Linked DNA regions of Canis lupus familiaris. The protein of the gene in region 1 binds, or shares a complex with, the protein of each later gene. Links are inferred from orthologs where the notes say so. Each region holds a gene or a part of one and is shown in the gene's direction. Other genes may lie near its edges. The genes, in order: ZMYND8 and DBN1.

Evidence for each region.
Region 2: the proteins of ZMYND8 (region 1) and DBN1 are in contact, whole or in part, in a crystal structure (PDB 5Y1Z), measured with the Homo sapiens proteins. The link is inferred for Canis lupus familiaris from reciprocal best matches to the Homo sapiens genes ZMYND8 and DBN1. Residues at the interface, in NP_001350670.1 of Homo sapiens: Gln167, Pro168, Gly169, Thr170, Gln236, Ile237, Val240, Lys243, Ile244, His247, Trp269, Leu285, Gly287, Phe288, Phe307, Gly309, Gln310, His311, Asp312, Ala314, Thr335, Lys336, Ser337, Ile338; in NP_004386.3 of Homo sapiens: Met1, Ala2, Phe6, Ser7, Arg10, Leu11, Leu14, Tyr17, Glu18, Asp92, Ala93, Cys96, Ala97, Ala99, Ser100, Lys104, Glu107, Phe108, Gln110.

The regions. Positions count from the first base shown.
Region 1 is NC_049245.1:34,969,680-34,973,480, reverse strand, and holds part of ZMYND8 (protein kinase C-binding protein 1), read left to right. Parts: intron 1-2,825; coding exon 2,826-3,218; intron 3,219-3,801. UniProt on the Homo sapiens protein: Chromatin reader that recognizes dual histone modifications such as histone H3.1 dimethylated at 'Lys-36' and histone H4 acetylated at 'Lys-16' (H3.1K36me2-H4K16ac) and histone H3 methylated at 'Lys-4' and histone H4 acetylated at 'Lys-14' (H3K4me1-H3K14ac).
Region 2 is NC_049225.1:36,784,473-36,788,949, forward strand, and holds the start of DBN1 (drebrin), read left to right. Parts: upstream 1-1,377; 5' UTR 1,378-1,505; coding exon 1,506-1,591; intron 1,592-2,305; exon of another isoform or gene 2,306-2,395; intron 2,396-4,477. UniProt on the Homo sapiens protein: Actin cytoskeleton-organizing protein that plays a role in the formation of cell projections. Required for actin polymerization at immunological synapses (IS) and for the recruitment of the chemokine receptor CXCR4 to IS.

The DNA.
Region 1 (3,801 bases):
GCCGATGTGGCACTTGATCTCAGGACTCCAGGATCACATCCTGAGCCAAAGGCAGACACTCGATCACTGAGCTACCCAGGCATCCCTAGAGCATTTTTTTCAATGGTGTATTTTCACTTTCAAGTTTTTTTTTTTTTTTTTTAAAGATTTTATTTATTTATTCATGATAGTCACACAGAGAGAGAGAGAGAGGCAGAGACATAGGCAGAGGGAGAAGCAGGCTCCATGCAGGGAGCCCGATGTGGGATTCGATCCCGGGTCTCCAGGATCGCGCCCTGGGCCAAAGGCAGGCGCCAAACCGCTGCGCCACCCAGGGATCCCTCACTTTCAAGTTTATTAGGTAAAGAGCATATTACAGTGTGCCACAGTGACCTTCAGCTCACCTTTAGCCAGGAATGCTGCTTATATGTAGAATAGGCAGCCTGAGGTAGCAAAATAGCTTTCTAGTTGGTGATCTCAGAATAGAGGCAAAGGGAGGCTTCCTTAGAGACCCCGCTGTGCTTCCCTTACAACACCGGTAATTTCCATCTTTCTCTTAGAAAGACCCCCCTTCAGGTACTAGAATAAGTAGGTTAATTAAGTAGGGGCAGCTTCTGGAGTGTTGGCCTTGAAGAGATTCACCCTTTTCTGGGCTCTCGGTTTGATTATACACTCAAAATTTCTGGGACAAATGGAATTTCCTACCCCCCCACTTCCCCCAGTAAACCATTAGAATCTTCTAGAAATCAAAATATTTTAGTATCTAATTGGTAACCCCAAAGGGTACTTTGAGCCTAGAATCTTTTTTTGGATTGCACACTCCACAGTTTTTATTTGGAACAGAGGGCCAGCCATCACCACTGCAGAGCAGCAGCCCACCCACAAAGTTACTCTTTGCTTCTGCAAATCAGTAGAAAGAAAAGGACCTATTTGTGGTTGTCCTTTGTCTGAGGAGAGAGGGGCTAGGTTAGCTTCTCAACAGTAATGATATATATATTCATCACCTGGAAGGAAAGGGAGGCATGGAAGGTGCTTCTCTGCAAGTTAGAAGCTCCACCAGGGGACTGCCCTGGTGCACGGCTCTTAGAAAACCTGGGTTCAGAGCCCCCTTTCCTCCTGGAAGGTACAGGGGCTGTATCCAGTATCCAGCACGCAAAGTCATCCCGGCAAAGGATCAGGGTTCCTCACTGTATGAAGAGCTCCCTCCCTTTCCGGCTCCACTTATGAACTTGGCTGGGCTCTTCCTTCCTCTCCAGAGGAGCAGGAAGGCGGAGGAGAGCCAGACAGATGGGACGGCCACCAAGGAAGCTCCCTGCACCCCCTGGCCTCCTGAGTCAGGAAAGTCAGCCCCCCTCCCCTTTCTTTTTTTTCTGTCACTCTCCTTGACTTCCTAAAACTCAGGGTACTGAATATCCTTCCTGGAATAATCAAGGTCATGTCTTTTCTGGGTTACATAAATCTGAAAGGCACTTATGTCAAGGTACATTGTCTGATAAGTTGGGGGTGCTGACTTGTACCTGTGTTTTGTGTGTGATCCCTGGGCATCCTCTCTCGGGGGCAGACCCGCTCCACTGGTGGCTGGGACCTCGGCGGTGATAACGGACCCCCCTTTACAAATGAGCACAAGGGGGCTACCCCTTCTGTGCTGCTCAGTGCTTCTGGCTCTAACCCGCCTTCCTGCCACTCCTCACTGCCTGCTCTCACTGACCAAAATGCTGGCTGCTCCTGGACACGTCTTGGCTGTCGCAGTCACCCTCCAAATTCTCACTTCCGCCTGTTGAAATCCTGCCCCTCCCTCACAGCCCCCCCTCCCAGAAGACAGACTCCCGGAAAGCAGCCTTTTCCAAACTTGTCATTTACATTCATTATTCTTGCCCTTCCCAAGTCTTGCTTTGTATAATCATTGACTTCGTATTTTTATTTAAAGCTACTCTAAAATAAACTATGCTTTTAAAGCTCATTTTAGATGTAGATTTGACCATCGCACCAGTTATTGCCTGATAAAAGGTGGCAGTGGGAATAAACATATCAGAATTAAAAGCAGGGCGTATGCTTCCCATGATGAACACTAAGTAACATGCAGAATTGTCGAATCACGATATTGTACACCTGCAACAAATAGAACACCGTATGTTAACTCGACTGGAATTAAAGTGGAAAAAAAAACATTATAAAACAATATCAACAGCAACAAAGAAGCAAGTCTCCTTAGAGATAAATACCATGGTGTTGGGAAGGTTCTGGCTATGGAGTGGAATTCCCTTTAGTCCCAGGGGTCAAGGCCATTAAGAGCACACTGGGACTTAGTCCTGGAGGGAGTCAGAGGTCAAGGGAGACTCTCCTTCTGGGTGACTTCATGTTTCCAGTGCTTTGGCCCTTGGGAAGTTACCTGATACTTAGGGGTACAGGCTCTATAGGTTCTTTAGCCAAAAGGATTCTCTTAATCTCTGGGTCGACTTTGGTTGGGTGTTTCACAAAGTGCTTACCCAGTTCTAACCGTAACACAAGACAGCTTGTGGTGGTTCTGTTCCTCCACTCACTGGTGGACAGCTTGAGGGCAGGGGCTGGGTCTAGTTCGCCTCATTTGCCCCAGAGGCCCCTATAGGAGCCTCCGATGTGGGCAAGAAGAGGCCGACACTCTGAGATAGATACACAGCAGCGGCCTCTGTGGATAAGGTGAGATGTGCTCCTCCATCGGGGGTGGGGTCCTCCCACACTGAATTTGTTCAGCATTCTTGGTTGGCCTTGCTTTGTTTAACCCAGAACATGCTGGAGAAGAGAAACCCCGCAGGTGAACCTGAGTCCAATCTCTCCTCTTCTGTCCCCCCCGCCCCCCGACGCATCAGCTTTAGTTGTAGGCAAAGCTCCACCGTCCACTACGGCGGGCAGCCAGTCCCCACCTGAAACTCCGCTCCTCACCCGCTCCTCCTCCCAAACACCCACGGCTGGTGTCACGGCCACCACCAGCACCACGTCCACGGTCACGGCCCCGGCCGCCACCGCCGCCGCCGCCACTGCCGCCGCCACGGGAAGCCCGGTGAAAAAGCAGAGGCCGCTTTTACCGAAGGAGACTGCCCCGGCCGTGCAGCGGGTCGTGTGGAACTCGTCAAGTAAGTTTCAAACGTCTTCCCAAAAGTGGCACATGCAGAAGATACAGCGCCAGCAGCAGAGCCAGCAGCAGAGCCAGCAGCCTCAGTCTACCCAGGGGACGAGATATCAGACCAGACAGGCTGTGAAAGGTACCATGCCCCCTTCTGTTCAACGTGGCGCCCACTCCCTCCTCGCCACATCGACAGGAGAGACAGAAATGTTTTTCTTTTTTTTTCTTTTCTTTTTTTTTTTCAGTTCTTTTTTGTTTCATGGCCTTTGTATCTTGAAGGCCTCGCGCATTCCATGTGGCATTATTTTTAAAAGTTGTTTTGCGACTTGTTTTTTTCACTTTTATTTTTTTTCCCCTCTGTGTTAGAAACAATACATGCATATAGGCTTCTTAGAGAGGGGTAAAATATTTGCCCCACAATCTGTTGTCTTGACCGAACTTCCATTCCATTCTTCACCCTTTCTCAGTGGCCACTGTTAACCGTGAAACCTTTTTTATGCATGTATGCATATATATTTATGTATATATGACTCTTCATAAAAATAGTATTTTTTTCTTTTTCCTTTTTTTAAAACATACAAATGGTACCATACTTTTTTTTCTTCTTTTTTTCTTTTTTTTTTTTCACCCATCAGCATGTTTTGGAAGTTCATCCATGTTAGCACATATAGCTCTATCTATGTTATTTTGGACTGCTGCATAGTATTCCACAGTTGATTTAA
Region 2 (4,477 bases), on another chromosome or scaffold:
GGAGGTGTCTGTGAAATTTAAGGGGTTTGAAGAGGTTATTCCTACTTGAAAGCACTGGGACTCACTGCTAATCAATGCACACTGCTCTCCTTCTCCTCTTGGTGTAACTGATTACCCATCTCAGAACTCAGAGGCCCAACTGGGGGCCACCTCCTTTTCCATCTCCCAGACTGGACCAAGTAAAGCTTGCTTGATTCTGTCACCTCCCCCAAGAAGATGGGGGTGGGAGGCTGTGTAGGAGGTGGAAAAGGCTTCTTCAAGCTGGGGAGAGTTTCAGGGTCCCACCTCAGCAAGGAGTGGCGATGTTCCATGAGGCCCTGGCAGTGGTGCCCACTCCCTTGTAGGGGACTTCTGTACTTGGAACCCTGCCCTGGGAGTCTGGGGTTAGATGCTGCTTCTGGAACTGTACTTGGGATTCCTCTGTGAGGCCTGAGGCTTGGGAGAGAAGGCAAAGGAATTGGAGGCTGGACCCATCAGAGACAGCCCTTGGGGGCAGCCAGGAACTGAGAGAGTGCTCTGGAGAGAGGTGGGTCAGGGATGGGAAAGAAGTTGGGAATCCTGGAGTACTGAGCTAAGTTGGGGCTGAGCACAATCAAGGAGGCAGGGATGGAGGGGTGTGGTTGGGAACTGGGATCCCAACGGGAATAAGGTAGGCTGGACTGACGAGGGTGCTGCTAGCGAAGGTGGTTATTGTGAATGTGTGGAGGTGCGCACTGAGGGCGTGGTTGGGAAGTAGGCTGGGAAAGAAATGGGTTGGATGTGGGGTAGGGACACAGATGGCAGTGAATAGTGATGGGGGTGGCCTAGGAGTGGACCTTTCAGAGGTGGGTATGGGCTGCATACGGGCCAAGGTGGCTGGTCCAGTTGGGCTGGGGTTGAGGGTTGGAATGGAGATGGGTTTAACCTGGTTTGGGATGGCAGGGGGATGGGGCTAAGGCTGGGACGGAGAGAAATTAAGCACGGGGTAGAGCTGTGCCAACCGGAGCGAAGAGGATTTGGGCCTGGGACTAGGAGCTGGAAAGGAGAGGGGGGAAGCCGGGCCTGGGTGGTGGCCGCAGACGGGAACCCCGCGAGGTGGTGCCGCTGCTGGGTATGGGGCTGGGGGAAAGGGTGAGCGCCCACGCTGCGGACACCGTGCGCGAGGCTGGGGACGCGGGCGAGACGCGGCCGGGGTGCGGGAGCGCAGAGCGCGGGCGGGCGCGGGGCGCGGGGCGCGGGGCGCGGGGCTGGGGGCGCCCGGGGCAGGCCGGGAAGGGGGGCGGCCTCCCCCTGGGCCCGCCGGGCGGCGCTAGGACCGGGCGCGCGGAGGGAGCGAGCCGGGCGGAGCCTGCGCCCCCCGCCCCCCGCCGGCCGCTCCCCTCCCCCGGCCGCGGCTCGCTGGGCTCGCGGCGCTGCAGAGGCTTCGCGGCGGCGGCGGCGGCGGCTCCCTCTTTCCTCGCCTCCTGCTCTGGCCGTCGGTCCGTGCTCCGCGCGTCCGTCCGCTCGGCCTCAGTCCGGCCAGCAGCATGGCCGGCGTCAGCTTCAGCGGCCACCGCCTGGAGCTGCTGGCGGCGTACGAGGAGGTGATCCGGGAGGAGAGCGCGGCCGACTGGTGAGCCCCCGCCCCGCCCCCGCCCGCGGCCCCTTTGTCCCCGCCGCCGCCGCCGCCGCCTTTGTTTCCGCCCGGCTCCGCCGCCCCGCAGCCGCGAGGGGAGGGGGCCCCGCAATGGTGCAGCGGCCCGGGGGGCTCGGGAGGGGCTGCCTCGGCGCGCGCCGGGGGAGGGGCCGGGCCGGGCGGGCGCTGCCGGCCCCGGGCGCCCGCAGGCGGCCCCGGCCTCGCGCCGCGGCGGTGGCCGGACGCTCCGGGGAGGCGCGGGGTCCAGATGCGGGGCCCGGGGCCGCTCGCCCTGCGGGAGCCCATCCCCCGCCCTCGCCCTGCCGCCCCGGGCCCCGGGGACAGGTGTGCACGGGGCGGCCAAGGGCACCTTCGCCACCTTCGGGCGGGAGCGGGCCGGGCGGGGACGAGGCGGGGAACCAGCCAGCGGAGCCAGCGCAGCCCGCCCGGCCCGGCCCGGCCCGGCCGCAGCACAAAGGAGAGCTAGGGCGGGGGAGGGGCGGGGCGGGCCGGGGCCGGGGCCGGGGCCGGGGCCGGGGCGCCCCGCCCACCGGGGGCCTCTGGGAGCCGGGGTGCGAGGGGGCCGTGTTCCTCGCCACCTAGCCGCCGCCGAGCGACTCCTGTTCCCCTCAGGGGTCGCGGAGAAGGCCGAGCTGAGACCTCCTCTCCCCGATCCGGAGGGGACTGCGGGGACTAGGCAGTGGGGCCGGGAGCTGCCTGGCCAGGTGGCCAGCTGGGGTCCCTGAGAGGAGGCTCCCAGGCACACAAGTGTGGAGGGAGCGCCCAAACAGGAAGGAGAGAGTGAGTACATCCATTGAGCCCCGAAGCCTCAGGCTCAGTGGTCAGCTTCCTCGTGGCAGATAAGCTGAGCTACCTTCTCTCCCTTTCCTGGCTGTTGTCTTGCCCTGAGCTTGAGACGGGATGGACCACCTGCTCTCTCTGGCTGGAGACCCCTGGGTGGCAGGAAAGCAAAGGGGTCCCACACTGCCCCATTCAGGAATCCCCTTCCTCCAAAATACTCTCTCCTGGGACAGGTGCCCATTCTGTTCTCTAGGCCTGGTCTTTTCCTAGCAGGAAGGAAACTGAGGCACAGAGTGAGGCTAGGTCTGAGGGCCCTCACGTGGGCTGGCCTCACCCTCATCCTAGGAGGGCAGTTAGGTAGGGACACTGACCCGGGGGCTGGAGGAGGGGCAAGATGGCCAGGCGTCCATGCCATGGTACTGCAGCACTGGCGGGCAGCCAGGCCTGGAGGGATGGATGAGGGAGAAAGCCCTCAAGTCCTGCAGGTCAGTCACAGGAGAGGCCAGCACAGGCTGAGCCGGCAGGAGGCCCACCCATTGTCCCAGCCCTGCCCCATGGGGGCTGAGATCATGGGAGGAGTTCAGGGCAAGTGGCCCGCTTGGCCTGGTGGAGGAACTAGGCTTAGGATATGGGCCTTGCCTGCAGAGGCACAGCCCTGCCTTAGAACACCCTACTCGTCCTCTGGTCTGCTGGTTATTATATACCACCACCCCGTTTCCCTCTAACCTCCCAAAAGCAAGGTTCTGGCAGTCCAGCACAGGGGTACACAACCGCTGCTGGACCACATTCTGTTTAGCAGAGGCCTGGGCTCCCACCACTCAGCAGCATCCATGTGGCCAAAGCAAGTTATTCATCATTGGCATGCGTCACCCCCATCTGGGTTGTGTGTGGGACACACATGTACACATGCACCCTCGTACATACAGACATTTGCTAACTCCCAAGGGCCTAGATAGCGTTTTGTAAAGAGGATGTGAAGAACACATCCTGCAGAGTAGGGCATGAGTGCCCCCAGTCCCAGTACAGAACCAGGAGTATAGTGGAGTCTCAGGACTTGGGGGCAGACCCTGTACTCAGAGGCCAGAGGAGTGGATCTTGGGTACAATTGCTGTCTTGGTCAAGAGGCATGGTACTGCCTTCACTTACCTCTGAGGGGGATATTGCTCCTATGTGGCAGAGCCTTTGAAACGGACTGTTGCCCTGGATAGGACACTACTCACTGTGTTAACTACACACAAGTGTCTGCTCCTCTCTGGTCCTCTTGAAAAGAGAAGGAGGGGATGGGACTCCACCATATCTGGGACCCCCAAGGCACCTTCCAGCTCCAGCATCCTGAGAGTGGAATTGGACTGAGGGCTCCTCCATCTGCCTTTGGTCCCCACCTCAACCGAACATGGGATCTCCCTGGAGTGGCACATCCCAGGCCCACCTCACCCTAGTCCAGTGTCTCTGGCCTCGGTGGCTTCTCAGAGTTTGTGTCAATATCACAGATACCTACTGGTTCTGCCCTGTGCTGGACCCGGGACCCAGTGAGTGATGCATGTTGATTGAATTGGATGTCTCCGTTTCACACAGCTTACAGTTAGAGGCGTTGTCTGTTTCCAGGGGTTGAAGCTGAAGAGACATGTAGATCCCTGGGACCCCATCCTGATACCTGTGGTTTCAACAGCTTCCACCCTTTCAGGCCTGGCTGTCTCTGATGTGTTTGAGAAGTACAGGTCTAATGAGATCTAGGATAGGCTTAGAGGCTTCTTGCCATCCCTTATGGGGTATGGTAAGTGCTCTAAGGAGGTGCAACTTAGGACAGGGCTTCCTGGGAAGCTGGCATTGGGTCCCTGAAGGATTTCAGTCAGGGCTGGCCCATGGGATGGATAAATAGGTCTAGCCCTCCTGTGGAGGGAAATTAATGTGCAGAGGCTCCCGGGTGGGAAATATCTAGAATTGAGTTTGGGATCCAGAGGCCATCCAGCGCATCCCAAGTGTTTGGTATGGAAACGGAGGTCTGGCTGGAAGGGCAGGTGGGGGCAGAGCTCAGGGTTGAAGGGCTGCTGAATGCTTAGGTATGGTTTCTGCCAGGCAAGG